Linked DNA regions of Alligator mississippiensis. The protein of the gene in region 1 binds, or shares a complex with, the protein of each later gene. Links are inferred from orthologs where the notes say so. Each region holds a gene or a part of one and is shown on either strand. Other genes may lie near its edges.

Region 1 (7,996 bases):
TTTGTTTGTCCTCTCCTGATTCCAGGTAGGCAAAAGTGTCGACGGCTTGAAAATTGTCAGGGGACAGGGAAAACCATTTTCTACTCACTCCTTGCCATGCCCCCAGTAACAGGACGGAGGTCTGGGAAACTCCATACAGCTTTGCCTCCTTTCCCACTGCACCCACTGGTATCCTTTAAAAGCCCAATAAAGCCCTAATATATCCAGCTAGGGCGTGTGTAGATGACATGGGCGTTAATGTAGACCGCCCAAATTAGAAAGCTATTATATATTACACATTAATGACATATTTCACATGAATTACACATCTATTATATAGTACACATTACACATATATTATATAGTACACTTTAATTGCACATATATTACATAGTACACATTAATTACACATTTTGCATGAATTACACATATATTATATAGCACACATTACACATGAATTACACATATATTATATGGTACACATTACACCTATATATTACACATTAATCACACAGATATTACGCATTAAAACCGATGTTCAGCCTGCTGATTCAGGACAGGCCACATAACTTTGCTGTCAGACTCCATCTTTTTGGTGTTTTCCATCAATTGAGCTGCTCGTATAATAGTGGTTCCAGCTTGGGTAGCCGGTCCAAGCAGAAATTACAAACTTTCCAGCAACTCCAGCTATCAGGTTGGGATCTGCTGGTATTTTATGGGTCTAGTACATCTGGTGCAGAAGTTGTCCCCTCGATAAGTATGACTTCAGGTCCCAATAAAAACCACATCAGATCAAGGGTTCTGGTAAGATTAATTTTCTAGCGGTTATTCAAGGCTGAAGTGAAGTGCTAACAGATTGGCTGTAGGGTGAACTGGTAAATATAAAACCCAGCGTTTGAGATGAAACGAAATGGGTTTGGGTGTCTGAAAACCGTCTTTGCAAAGAGCCTGACACTGCTTGTTTCTTTTATTTTTTTAAAAATCCTCTGATTTTGTTTTCTGCCTAAGTAATGTCAAGGAAACGTCTTGAATAGCTTTCTAATTCCCGAGGGTCCCAGAGGCATAACTTTTGGAAGGAATTAGATTAACGCTTATGAAAAATAAATTACAGGCTGAGTGCTCGTTAGATAATTTTGAACAAATGTCTTGATCTGCGGCAGGACTGTCAGAAAATAGAAGGGGTGGGGGGAAATCACCGGCCGTGGCATTTCAGCTGAAAACACACAATGTTATTTTCCCCCCAAAACCCAAGGAAATGAAGAGGCGCTTTCCTCGGGGCTCGTCTCAGCGCTAAGTGGACAGGCTGGGCAGGACGAAGGAGGGAGGAAGATGAAGGCAGGGAAGCGCTGGGGCTTCGTGCCTCAAAGCTGAGGCATGACGGGCCCCTCTCCTGCCGCAATACGGAGGCTCGCTCTCCCGAATTCACATGATGGACGAGACGGGCAAAGCCCTGAGGGGTGTTTAAGCCTTCAGAAGAGGGAGAGGTCATCTTTGCCCAGGGCTGATTCCAGTCCTTCAGCCTGATTTCGGGGGCCTCTGAGTCTTTTTTGAGGGGCTTGCGCAGTCCTCTTGGTGGCAAGATTTTCCTCATACACCACCGTCACACGGCCAGCGGAGCCAGTCCCACAGGCTGCCCCCAGGTGCTCCGTGCTGCTGCTGGCGCAGTGTCGCCCACGGGAACGGTGCTGCATAACGAGCCCTGCTAATTAGCGTACCCACAGCACCTTGTGAGCGGGCACCAGCTCCCCCTTTTGAGGCAGTGTGGGATGCTTGAGGGCAGTGGCACCCCTGGCTGAGCACAGAGAGGTCGCCGTGTCAGCAGGCTGAGGGAGAGCCTCCATTTTGAATGGCGCCCTTTCCAGACGGTCTCCTCCACTTTGAATGGCGATGTTTCTAGACGGTCTCCTCCATTTTGAAAGGCGCTGTTACCAGACGGTCTCCTCCATTTCGAATGGCGCCCTTTCCAGACGGTCTCCTCCATTTTGAATGGCGCCCTTTCCAGACGATCTCCTCCATTTTGAATGGCGCCGTTACCAGACGGTCTCTTCCATTTTGAAAGGCGCCGTTACCAGACGGTCTCCTCCATTTCGAATGGCGCCCTTTCCAGACGGTCTCCTCCATTTTGAATGGCGCCCTTTCCAGACGATCTCCTCCATTTTGAATGGCACCGTTACCAGACGGTCTCTTCCATTTTGAATGGCACCACTACCAGACGGTCTCCATTTTGAATGGCACCCTTTCCAGACAGTCTCCATTTTGAATGGCGCTGTTACCAGATGGTCTCCTCCGTTTTGAATGGTGCCGCTATCAGACAGTCTCCTCCATTTCGAATGGCGCCCTTTCCAGGCGGTCTCCTCCATTTCGAATGGCGCCCTTTCCAGGCGGTCTCCTCCATTTCGAATGGCGCCCTTTCCAGACGATCTCCTCCATTTTGAATGGCGCCGTTACCAGACGGTCTCTTCCATTTTGAATGGCACCACTACCAGACGGTCTCCATTTTGAATGGCACCCTTTCCAGACAGTCTCCATTTTGAATGGCGCCGTTACCAGACGGTCTCCTCCATTTTGAATGGCGCTGCTATCAGACAGTCTCCTCCATTTCGAATGGCACCCTTTCCAAACGGTCTCCTCCATTTTGAATGGCGCCGTTACCAGATGGTCTCCTCCATTTTGAATGGCGCTGCTATCAGACAGTCTCCTCCATTTTGAAAGGCGCCCTTTCCAAACAGTCTCCTCCATTTTGAATGGCACCATTTTGAACGGCGCTGTTCCAAGCTGTCTCTTCCTTTTGGCAGCTGTGCTTTATTTGTGCCCTTCAAATCCTCCCAGACGGGGGTCGATTCCAGCACTTTGCTCCTGGTAGAGCAGCCATGGACTCACGCCGGGCTGCCAGAGTCTCCGCCAGCTCCTCCGTCAGGCTTGCCTGCTTCCACGGGCTACCTCTGCACAGTCCCCAGGGCCTCGATGTGTGTGAATTTGTGCATTCGTGCTCAGGAAAAGCAGAGCGAGCGACCTCAGTTTGCCCATCGCTGCAATCACAGGACGCCCCCACCTTCTCGGTGCCTCAGAGAAGATGGCTCCCTCCTAAATGACCCCGGGCTCTGGGGCAAATTCCTTCTGGTCACCCGAGAGGGTCGTTAGCACTCTCCGTGGGGACTCGTGGCCATGTCTGGCTCTGCTGCAGGCGTGCGACCCTAGGTGAGTCTCTCAGGGCCAGAGCGTGAACCCTTTACTCGCAGGAGCGACGCTTAGTGGCAGCATTTGGCCCTTTGCCTCTCAGCACACAATCCCGCTCCCTTTCTTTCTCCGTGGCCTGTCGCATCTATTCAGACAGGCTTCCTGGAGCAGAGACCCACCCGGCGTGTCGTGCATTTGGAGCCAATGCACCTTTTGGAGGGCTCAAACGTTGGCATGTTCGCCCCCTCCTCCCTTGTAACCTTGCACTTTGTGCACCGCTGGCTCCATTCGGGGTTCAAAGTAGAGCAGCTGAAGCAAGGCTCCCTCGATTAAAAATGTGGCCGCACGCTAACTTTTGAACGGCACGCACCCGCGGGGAGAGGAGCTGGGCTGAGGAGCATGGCGGAGGCACCGGGGCCGGCGTGGGACGCTTCCCGGAGGTAAGCGCTTCACTCCTCGCGCGGGGCAGGCACCACTCCTCCCGAGGCGGGACAGGACGGGCCGCCACGTGCCTCCTCGCTCCCCGAGGTGAGGCAGTGCCATAACCGCGAGGGTATTTGCAATTGGGCATTTGCTTGCTGATGGACAGAAGAGCGCTGCAGCAGACGGCCACGACGGCATCGCTGCGTGTTCGACAAAGCCCCAATAAACAGCAGCACTAGCCCGTGGGGAGTTACAGGGAACGGTCTCTAACAAAGGCAGAGAAAAGGGTCATGATCTCGCAGTCTCCCTTCTGGAGGCCCGGGTGCTGTATCATCTTCTGTTGTAAAACTGCATTATACTGTGGGGCGGACTGAGGTGGCGCGCGCCGAAAGGGGTAGGCAGGACCAATTCGGGAACAGACCGAAGTGGTGCACTCACAGATCGCTACACCTTAGAGGGGACATCTCAGGCGCACAAGCCTTCTCCCGTGGTCCTCCAGCAGCTGAAGTACCCTGAGAGAAGGCTTGTGTGCATGAGGTTTTCAGGTAAGTATTGCAGGTGTTGGAGTTCAGGGCAGCTGGGGGGGAGCAGGTGGCGGCATGTCTCCTTGAATTGCACGGGAACTGCAAAGCTCTGCACGCATCACCCCATTCTCCTTCGCCCAGCCCCTCCTGGTGGCAGCCTTGAGGGGAAAGGAGACCCAGGGTGAAAGCAGCTCGTTGAAGAGCCCGCGCCACTGCGCCAAGCAAATAACGCTGCTAAATCCCCTGCTTTGCAGTGCGGCTGACCCTCCTGTAATCTAGATAAACACCATGTTTCTCCCTTTGGCCCTTGGAGCCTGGCTATAACTAATGCACTCAATTGCAAGATTGATTTTGCCTTAAGAGCGTGGTCAGCAGAAGCCAGCTCCTCGCGGAGCAGCGGGCATACTCTTGCTAGCAAACAGAAGCTATTAATTGATACACAGGAGTTTACAAATACAAAGTGTATTTTGGCCTGCGCTGAGTCATTAATCCTGCGTAGTTTTTATAGCAATAGCACTTTAATCACTTCTGCTTGGCTTTGGGGTTTTTTCCCACCCCTCCCCCCGTAAGGAAATGCTTTTTACACAGGTGTTAGGATCATTTTTATGCACAGGTGCCAATTGTGAAATGCTTTCCAAATGAAAACCTGTTGGGCATGTCTCTGCCTGTGCCCAGGCTGGAGGAGTACGTCTAAAACAAGCTGTGCCATGCAAATGTGGAGTTTTCTGTAGAACCTGGTAGTTACACAACTTGTATTTGAGGTGGTTTGAAATTCTTCCGTGGCATCGTGTCCAAGCGCCCTGTAGTGTGTGTTTGTGGCTGTCTGAGCCTGGGTGTAATCCAGCGCTTTACCTGTTCTCAGCTTTCACATACTTGCTTGCAAGCTGCCTGTTGCATTTTGCAGAAGAGCCACTGAGCAGCAGGAAGAGAAACGGCAAAAGCAAATAACAGCTGGTTTTAAGAGAAGAGAGGACTTCCACTGAATCTAACTGAAACAGGTCAGAGCTCACTTCTGCTCTCTCCCAGTTTGGGTTTCTTGGTCTGAGGCTTGCTCCCTGAGGTCCTGCATTTGGTAAGGTCTGTGCAGCACTGCTGAGGCTTGGAAGAGCGGAGCCCAAATCTGTGCTCCTTTGAGAAAACTTCCGCTGGGAGCTGGCCTGAGTAAGGAGAACCAGGTTCAGGTCAGAGCAAGCTCCCATTGCCTGATCCCAGCAAGTACATGGTCCTCTTGTAGTTACCACAGAAGCAACAGCTTTCTCTAAACGAATATTTCATTTTAATAAGCCTAGGAGGCTTTGGCAGAGATCAGCAGTTAGAATGATACGGTATCATTATGTATGAATTAATTATTATTGTTAGGACAGTCTCCTGCGGTTTGTGCAGTGTTTACTCACTCTGTTGCCTGCTAACTTCAGTAGGCATTTGCTTGATAAAAACTGAATTGAAAAGTATAGGTGAGCAAAAAGCTCCTGGCAAACCTGTAGGTGAATTGTGTCTGAGCAGCCACAGCTTTTCTCAGATTTGCTCCATTTGAGGAATATACTCAGTCAATAATTTCCTGGCATGCAGCTAGGTTGTGACCTCGGCTTGTACCTGGTGGCCTTGCTTCGCTGTGTCTGCCTCCTGTTTCAGTAGATGTAATGCCAAGCTCCCCGAGCAGAACAAGATGTGAAGCAGCATGAAGGAGCTTGCTGTCACCCCCGATCATTGGGATCGGGGGCTCTCTCTTATTATGTGTGTACAGCCACTTGTACACTTAATCTTGCCAATGGAATCACAGAGCTGGAGGAGACCTCCAGGGTCACCCAGTCAGTGGGGGTTCAGTCATCCTGAACCATCCCAAACTGATGCCCATTCAACCTCTTCTTGGAAACCTCCAATGAAGGAGATTCCATCTCTTCCCTGGGCAGCTTGTTTCGCTGTCCTATTGCTATTACAATTAGGAAGCTTTTCCTGAGATTTCATTTAGATCTGCAGTGCTGGGTGAGCATTGCAAACTGGACCTAACAGCTTGGAGAATTCAGCCCCCAGAATCAGCTTGCCAGCCAAGACTGGAAATAGCCAAGACTGAAAATTCAGGGTTCTCTTCTTGTGAATAGTCACTAACAAATGCTTAAAATTTGCTAGGTTTTTGGTTGAAGCCGTGTCGGTCTAAGGACATAGGCAGGCGAGGTTCTTTGAGTAGACGTGATATCTTTTATTAGACCAACTGAGAGTAAATGGGGAAAAAAGTGCTTAGTAAACTTTTGGGTACAATCACCCTTCTTCAGGCATAGAAAGTCTCTGCTGTTCTGAGACTCCAAGGAACGCGAGAAGCTAAAAGTGTGACAGGATGTCAGTGAGAATGTAAATAGGTAGAAATGTAGGAAAACAAAAGGTAGAGCAATAACATTTGCTATTGCTTTGAACATTCCTGCCAAACAAGAGGTGTAGCAGAGTCTCCATGGCAAATGCATGTCATGGCACATGGGATCACTGACCTTATTAAAAAACTAGGCGCTTGCTAAAGAAAACACGTACAGACACATGCAAAATAGGTTTCCACACAGCTTGAGTTCCAGCTTTGTTTCCCAGGGACCCACACCCTGGATCTTCTGTACGGCACCTGGAGATACCTACTGGCTGAATAGTATACTACAGGTAAGCAAAGCCATTCATTGCAGGAGAGGTTCGTGAATGTAGTGAGGAATAGGATGAGATGAGATATGCATCTGACTCACTGAAGGAAGTCACCATTTGGCCTGCTCCAACAAAAAATTTCACAGTGCTAATTCATTGCCTTGGGCCGGTGGCTGGGGAAGTAAGTTTTTGCTGTGAAAGCCCAAGACTTGAAAAACTTGTGCAGAAGAACGCAAAGCTTGTGTTTCCTTTCAGGGCTGAAAGCAAACACATCCAAGGAGCTTGACAGTCCATTAAAAACAAAGATAACGGAGCCTCTTGGTGTCTCTCTGTTGGCAGCAGCCTGGCTTCCCGTATTTACTTGATAACATGATGGCAAGCACAGCAGGCACAAATGCCTTGAAATAAATAAGGGAGCTCTCTGCCCTGGCTCTGGGTTAATCTGGTTTGGGGAAAATGGTGCAGAGCACAATCTGGTAAATCATGCTTTTTTTTTTAATGTAATGTACTATTTACAGTACAGGGGCTGTATAAATAAAGAGCAGCCAGTAATAAGATATTTATCACTAAGTGCATCACACAGTGGTTTATTTTCCATAAATTCTGCCAAGGGTGAGCAATTTCCAACCACAGCTGCAGTCCCCTGGTGTTATCAGTGTCTGTGTTAATTAGATTTAGGTTTGTGTGTGCGGTTGCGGGAGAGAGAAGCTCTCTCTTGCGTGGCAATCAATACCTTCATCCCATATTTCAGGGTGCAGACGCCTATCTGTCCACAGGGGTGGCATGTTTTTCCTAGTGCCTGCTCAATCAATGAAGTTTAGTTCAGCTGCAGCTTCGTCACTGCGGGCAGCATCGGACTTTGAAACCCTGCTGAGATCTTCCGCAGTGGGGACCTCTCTCTAAAAGGGTCCTGGCATTGTCTAGTATTTTAGTTTCTCCTCAGACACAGCCCAGCGTGGAGAGACTGTGACAAAGCCATATCCGATGTATCTGGATAATATGAGTTGATGGGCAAGAACCTAAGAATATTGAAATGTAACCTAGTTATTGAGATGTTGTATGAGCTCTGTATAAAGTTATAATGTGAATAATGCACCATCATGTTTGAATTCGATAGGGGTGGCAGGAGGAATAAAGGGGGAATCAACACCATGACTTCCCAGCTGAGGCCATTGCGATGCATGCTCGAAAGGCGATAGTTTGGTGTCAGAGATACTATCTCTAATGTAGGTATCTAGGTATCTCCGATGCCCGATGAAGGGTGTTTGTGCGTA
Region 2 (6,904 bases), on another chromosome or scaffold:
GAGGAGAATAAGAAAACATCAGCTGAAAAAAAAAACACCTCAAAGACCAACATAAGACATAATAACTCACTAATGAAGCAGAGATAACAAGAACGTAAGTGTAGGTGTGTGAACTTTGCAAGAGAAACAAGTAGAGATGGATACCTCAATAGAGAGAGAGAGTAGTCAGTATGATGTGAGGAGTGCTCAGATATAAATACAGGGGCTGCAAGACGGCCACGAACATTAATCACATACTGCTCTGCTACCTGAAGCTTCAGGAAGTTGGGCTGACCATTAACGAGACCGAGCTGGTACCTTCTGAGGACGATAAAACTTTCTGAGTTTTCACCCCCAAACACTGATTCGAGTCGCTTTTCTGTATTGCCTCTGAAATCTGTAAGGCTGCTTGCTAGCCTCAGCCTTTAGGAACGCACAGGCCCCAGCAGCCTGTCTCCCCAAAACGACAGCTCTAAGAGACCACCCGCAAAAGAGCTCCTATGCCTTGGGGCAGCAGCACATACGCGTGCTTGGGCCTCTGCACTCGCACCACCATCCCGGACGCTGCAGTCTCTCCCTGCGGGAGCTCCAGCACTCAGTCCTGGCCTAGCGACGGCCACCAGCACAAATGCCACAGAACTGAATGGGTAGCGGGGACTCGGACTCTGGCATTAAGGTCAGCAGTGGAAACCTCTGCTGGACAGAGCAGTTTTCCCCTTCCACCACCCCCCCCGGTCCTACAATAAGGGGCAGGAGGAGTGAACCGAGCGTCAGGGCAGGCTCCTATAGGGGAAGCACGTCCTACAGTACTTTGCAAAGAGCAATGAATGAAGTCCCAAAGATCCGCTGTGATTTCGGTCTTTTAACCACCCCAAGTCGCAGGTGGGCTAACCGAGGCTCGGACAGGAACCAGCATCCCGTCTCTTGCTGTATCAAGGCCCAGGCGAGGTCAGAACACGAGCCGACTCCCAATCCTTGCCCCAAGACAAGCCGGACTGTGCCCAACCACACTGTAGGAAGCCCCTGTGCGTGCACACCAACCCCACAATGAGCTGGAGGAAAGGGAAGACGCTCAGGCTACTGAAAGGGTTAAACAGGAGCACGCGGAGAGAAAGTGACCACAGGAAAAGGGCACGCTGGAGACTGAAAATCCTCCGGCTGGCCCCTCATCCTGTTTACAAAGACAACAGGGCAGGGTCCGGTATGCAGCGGGGCCTCATCCTGGCCGGCAGCCAGGGACAGGGCTGGCTCCCAGAGGGACAAGGGCAAAGGGGGCTGGGCTCTCCGCTGCCACGGCAGAGCACGGAAAGGAAACCCCACGTCCTGCCCCCACGATACCCGCGGGGTGCAGGCCCTCGCTATCCCCGCTGGGCAGGCGGCCAGGAACCTTATTCACCCCGCACAGCTGCTCGCTCTCTCCCCGACCCGACCCCACACATCTCCGCCTTGTCTGCGTGCTACAGCCCTAGACGCAGCATCCACGCGCCCCCGCCACGTGCTGCTCCTCCGCACGTCCTCCGCTGACAAAGCCCTTTCGTTCTGCTCCCACCAGTCTCAGCCCTCCCGCGCCCCCTCCACCGACGCGGCCGGACCCCAGCCGGAACCAGAGACACCTCGAACTTACAAAAGGCAGCGGAGGGAGGCCTCAGACTGGAGCTCGGCCAGCGGACTGGGCCCGGCATCCACGTTGCAAGGGGGACGCTAGCCAAGAGGTGTCACAGGATGATGACACCGAGGGAAGGGACCTCGGGGGGGGGGGGGTGTCACGTCCAGTCCAACCCCCCCACACTCGGAGCAGGACCAGCCCCAGCCACGTCACATCAATCCCAGCTGACGGCGCTTCAGGGCACCCGCCCGCACACGGGGGCGCTTCAGGCCGGTTTGACCCCAGCCCCGCGGCGCTTGCGGGGCTTTGCTCCGCCGTGCCCCAGGATCTCCACGCGACGCCGCAACGGCTGGCGGGAGCTGCTCCCACGAGGGGAGGCCGCGGACCCCCTCGACGCAGAGCCGGGCGCGGCCGCCCGCCACGCACGACGTGGGCAAGGGGCGAGCGCGGGGCAGCACGCCCGCACTGTGCCGATGGCCGGGGAGGGGGGCACGGGGGGGGGCAGTGCCCCAACCCCCCCCCACGGCTTCCCTGCCACGGGTGCCGGCCACCCCGCCCGCCCCTGCTCCCCACACTGTCTCTGCCCCCTCCCCCACCCACCATCTGCCCCACAACACCCCCGCCCCACTGCCCCCTCTCTCTCCCCCCAACACCCCCTCCCCACCTACCAGCCAGCCCCTCCCCCACAACACCCCCTTGCCTGCCCCTCCCCCACCTACCACCCTGTCCCCCGCAACACCCCGCATTTTCCCACCCCTGCCCCTCCCCCATCGTGCCCCCACCCCCACAACACCCCCTGCCCCCCCCTCACCGCATCGCCATGGCAACCCGCCGGCTCCCGCACCAGGCCCCTCAGCCCCGCGCTAGGCCCCGCTGACCTGTGACGTCGCGCGGCAGCGTGGTGACGTCACGGATCCCCCGCCGAAGCTGCAGGCGGTGCCCCGCAAAGCACGACGGGAAGAGGAAATCCCGCGAGAACGCGCAAGACAGGCCGCCAGTCCTCATGGGAGAACTGGTTGTGGGAGGGAGGGGCACTTCCGGGAGCGGTGACGTCACGGAGGAGGAGGAGGCACGTGGAGCAGGCGAGGGGGCGGCCTAGAGCGGCCCCGCGCGGCACCATAGAGACGTGGCGGAGCGCCCTTCCGCCGGCACCATAGAGATCCCGAGGGCGGGCTAGAGCGCCCCCCGCAGCACCATGGAGACGTACCAGAGCGCCCTTCCGCCGGCACCATAGAGACCCCAGGGGAGGGCTAGAGCGCCATGAGACGTAGGGGAGCGCTCTCCCCCCAGTACCATAGAGACGGGACCGGGCGGTGTCTCCCCCAGGACCATAGAGACGAGGGAGACGCACCAGAGCGGCCGCCCTCCAGCCACGCGGAGCACAGAGACGCGCTAGAGTGGCCGCAGGGCGGCGCCCCCAACACGAGGGGCGCTGAGCGTTTGTACGACGGAGACGCCGTCAGCGCCGTTCCACGCACAGGCCGGCGTCGCGCGACGTGCCTGGGGTTGTCATGGTGACAAGACCCCGACTCTCTCCAATGTGTCCGCATCTTTTCTGCACAGCTGGACGCCGGACTCCAGATGTGGCCACGCAGGTCCCAGGACGCTGGTCGTCGTCACGGCGAGGGCGCCTGTCGCGGGCAGGGCCGAGGAGCGGAGGAAGGATGTAGCTGGCGTCGGCGTGCGCAGTGTTCGGCCGCCCCACGGCAACATTGCTCCGCTAATTCGGGGAATCCTCCAGCTTCCAAACACGTGTGACGCGCGGGGCCTCCGACACGCGGCCGCCCGCCCGGCGCGTGCGTTTGTAACGCGTCGCCTCCCCCCGAGCGGCTGCCGGCCTGCGCTCGCAGGCGCTGACCTCTGCCCGCGAGGGCCCCGCCTGCCCGGCCCGGCAGCTCAGGGGCGTGTTTGCTCGCCCCTCTCGGGCAGGGAGAGTTGTTGGTTTTCTGATAAAAACCCAGTGACCGATTCCTGAAAAACACCGTGGAAAAAAAACAAACCCGTCCAGCCGAGGGGGTGGGAAACGCGGGGCCGGAGCGGCGTCGGGCTCGGCAGCGAGCAAGGCTGGCGTTACCCCGGACGGATCGGCAATGTCTTGGCATCGTTGAGCGGCCTCGGGCGCTGGCGCAGGGAGGGTTTCTGCAGGGAGTGGAGCCAGCAAATGTCTCTGGACCCGGGGGCATGAGGGTGGGGGTCCCGGCCCCCACTCGGGGCTCAGAGGTGCATCCATTCACACCTGTGCAAGGTGCCTGGGAGGGGAGGGTCCATCCAGCAGCAGCACGACTCCCCATCCATGGGGGTTGTCAGCGTGCACGCCGAGCCCTGCCGGCTCGGGAGGGGTGTTGGGAGGGCAGGCAAGGCCTGTGCATAGTCATTTGGGGTGGGAGCTGGGGGAGCATCCCCTCAGGAGAGGCTGCCAGGATGCGGGCATCGCCCTGATCCCCGCACCGTCTGCGGGCTCTTCCCCAGCGCAGCGTGACCTCAGTCCCAAATGGACGGGGCCGGAGGGGGCGGTGGCGAGCGGGAGCTAGTTAATAGACGACCAAGATCAACACCGGGCGTTATCAGCGCTGTCCCGGGGCAGGCGGCTCAGTTGTGTTTCCTCGGCACCCGCAGACATGAAGGGGGTGCTGGCTCTGGTGCTGAGCCTGGCGGCGCTGGCGGCGGCCAGCCGGTCCGCGCTGCAGGAGCAGGCGGTGGAGCTGGCGCTGGCCGATTTCCACAGCCGCGGCCACATCCATTGGCTCTTCAAGGAGAAGTCGGTGGAAGGGGTGGTTGAGAGCGTGAGTGCTGCAATGCAGTGGTTGCAGGCCACGGGCTTTTCGGGCACTGCTGGGGTGACAACCCGCCGGAGGGGAGAAGGGCCTGGAGCCGGAGCCCGGCAGGAGCTCCCCGGGCACAGGGCAGGGTAGGCAAGCTGGGCTGTGGGGCAGTGACCTGCCGCGCTGAGCTACACATTAACTGGATGCTTGCCTGGGGGTGTGACGGTGCCTGCTTTCCTCTCCCGGGGCTTAGCCAAGGCCTCTTTCCCTGGAGGGGAAAGCCACATGGGGCTGGGGGGCTACTGGGACACATGATGGGGCAACTGGTCCCTGCTGGGTGCCCAAGCCATTTTGGGGAGGATGGGTGGTTTCATCTAGCTTTCGCTGTGGGCCAGGCAGGATGAGGCCAAGGGACAACACGGGTCCCTCTAAGCCTGGGAGAGGGCAGGAGCATCTCTGAAGCTTCCTTGTTTCTGGTGCAAAAAGAAACTAGAAGTTTTACTCATACGCCAGGAGCCCAGGGAACAGGACCTGCGAGGAGAGGCTGCGAGAACTGGGCTTGTTTACTCCCTGCACCTGCCTGGATCCGCCCCTCGTGTTACACAAGCAAATGTGCAGCACGGAGGCACTTAGTTAGTGGGACCTGGATTAGCACCAAGTACCCAGAGACGCTGCAGGAGCTGCCCCTCCGAAGGCCGGGAATGCCCTGCCAGTGCTGGGGTCCGGCTCGGAGCTGCCCCACTCCTTGTTGACCCCAGGCTCTCTCATAGGTGCAGTCAACGGGGACCTTCATCCGTCTGCACCTCAACCTGGTACCCACGACCTGCAGGAAGCAGCAGGAGAGGAAGCACCACTGCAGCGTTAGACCCAACGGGGTGAGCAAGCGGGTGGCCAGGCCATGCCTGGCACCCACGGGTCCACGGCTCATGCCCACGCCACTAAAGTCACTGGGAATTCGCCTCGAGGGCAGCAGGATCAGGGTCGTGCTCATTCTCCCTCTCAGTTCTCTCTGCCTCCTTCCCCCCCATCCCCACCCCTACCCTGTCTCCATCCTTTAGGGCAGGAGGCAGACGAGGATGACCCAGATCCTCCTCGTCAGAGCAGGTGGGAGAGGATGGGCCCAGGAGAGAGTACTGAGGGGGTGAATGGCTGCGTGAATGGGGGCATCCAGGCTTGGGAGGGGTGAGTGTGCGCACCTGTGCACGTGTATTGCAGTAGTGTGTGAATGGATGTGTGTGCATGTGCAAGTCCCAGGAGTAGAGGTATTGTACATAGGAGCAGCACGTGGGTGTGTGTGTGCACACAGTGCCTGAGGGAGGTGGGTGTGAATGCATGGCTGTGCCTGTTGGAGCCATGTGAGTGTGCTAATGGATATGCATGTGCAGTGCCTGGGGGGATGTATGTGCACATGCCTTGGAGCTGTGTGTATTGATGCACATGTATACGCAGTGCCTGGGGGGATGTATGTACACTTACCTGCAGAGCTGTGTGTGTTGATGCACACATGTGTGCAATGCCTAGGGGAGGTGTGAGTGCACATGTAGCTGTGCCTGTTGGAACCATGTAAATGTGCCAACACATGAGTGTGCAGTGCCCAGGGGGGTGTATGAGTCCATCCCTGTGGAACCACGTGGGTGCTAGGCAGGGTTTTTGCCAGGCAGGGCATCCGCTGTCCTGGGCTGGGCTTCCTCCGTGACCTCTGCCAAAGGCTCCCACCGTGACCTTGGCCTTGTCCCTTACCTCCTGGGTCCCCATACCCGGCGGTGGCTGGGCTACTAGCCTTATCCCACCCCACCCTGCCCTGCCCCACACTGCTGGGCCCCATCCATGCCCTTGGGAGATGAGGGGGCAGCCAGGGGTGCTGCAGCCTTGCTGCCTTGCCCCAGAGGCGCCTTCTGCCCCTGACTCGGTGGTCACGGCCTCCCCGTCTATCTCCACAGAGGAAGCGCAACTGCCTGTTCTGCGTCAAGTTTGGCAGCACCAGCCCCTCGGAGGTGCTGGACAAGTACATGCACTGCAGCGTGGAGCCGCTGGCCAAGGTAAGTGCCACCCTCTGCCCAGCTGCTGTCCCGAGCTTGCAGGGACTGGGTCTGGGGGGCTGGCAAAGCTTGGAGCCAGCCCCAGTGCCACACCTGGAGGATCACACACACACATGTGCGCAAACACATGCCTGCCCCTGGCAGATGCAATACCCCTCCCACGTACATCTAGAGCCATGCATGCATGGGGGCACATGCTTGTTTGGCTGCACCCATGTGGCACAAGCCCTGGCACCCCCATGCACTCAGAGCCGCTGCCTTTGCGGTAATGCCGGCTCTGCCTTGCAGGTGCTGTCGCCCAAGGACGAGCAGGAGTGCCAAGGGGTGGAACAGGCCGGTGAGGTGGTCTACCTCCCTGGCAGGTTCGCCTTCCTCAGCCAGCCGGACTAGCACGGTGAGCACAGATGGGGCAGCGAAGGGCGGGCGGCTGGGTCCTATGATGTTCAGGGCATGGCCCCAGCTGCCCCCTGGCCCATCTTCCGGACAGCCGTGAGGGACTCCTTCCTCCTTGGAGATGA

Evidence for each region. Proteins that work in one complex are often made in the same cells at the same time.
Region 2: the proteins of CMKLR1 (region 1) and RARRES2 are in contact, whole or in part, in a cryo-EM structure (PDB 8ZJG), measured with the Homo sapiens proteins. The link is inferred for Alligator mississippiensis from reciprocal best matches to the Homo sapiens genes CMKLR1 and RARRES2. Residues at the interface, in NP_001135815.1 of Homo sapiens: Asp20, Tyr21, Leu22, Asp23, Ser24, Ile25, Val26, Val27, Leu28, Phe88, Leu92, His95, Tyr103, His104, Asn116, Leu119, Ile120, Met123, Arg178, Leu183, His184, Gly185, Lys186, Ser188, Cys189, Phe190, Asn191, Trp203, Thr205, His217; in NP_002880.1 of Homo sapiens: Leu34, Phe37, His38, Phe60, Thr75, Ser76, Cys77, Arg96, Leu111, Gly112, Arg113, Leu114, Val115, His116, Cys117, Pro118, Ile119, Thr133, Leu136, Arg137, Gln139, Arg140, His146, Ser147, Phe148, Tyr149, Phe150, Pro151, Gly152, Gln153.

Annotation. Positions count from the first base shown.
Region 1 is NC_081833.1:4,564,716-4,572,711, reverse strand, and holds the start of CMKLR1 (chemerin-like receptor 1), read left to right. Parts: upstream 1-4,953; 5' UTR 4,954-5,101; intron 5,102-7,996. UniProt on the Homo sapiens protein: Receptor for the chemoattractant adipokine chemerin/RARRES2 and for the omega-3 fatty acid derived molecule resolvin E1.
Region 2 is NC_081828.1:219,304,543-219,311,446, forward strand, and holds the start of RARRES2 (retinoic acid receptor responder protein 2), read left to right. Parts: upstream 1-3,832; 5' UTR 3,833-4,203; coding exon 4,204-4,368; intron 4,369-5,117; coding exon 5,118-5,222; intron 5,223-6,287; coding exon 6,288-6,386; intron 6,387-6,674; coding exon 6,675-6,776; 3' UTR 6,777-6,780; intron 6,781-6,904. UniProt on the Homo sapiens protein: Adipocyte-secreted protein (adipokine) that regulates adipogenesis, metabolism and inflammation through activation of the chemokine-like receptor 1 (CMKLR1). Also acts as a ligand for CMKLR2.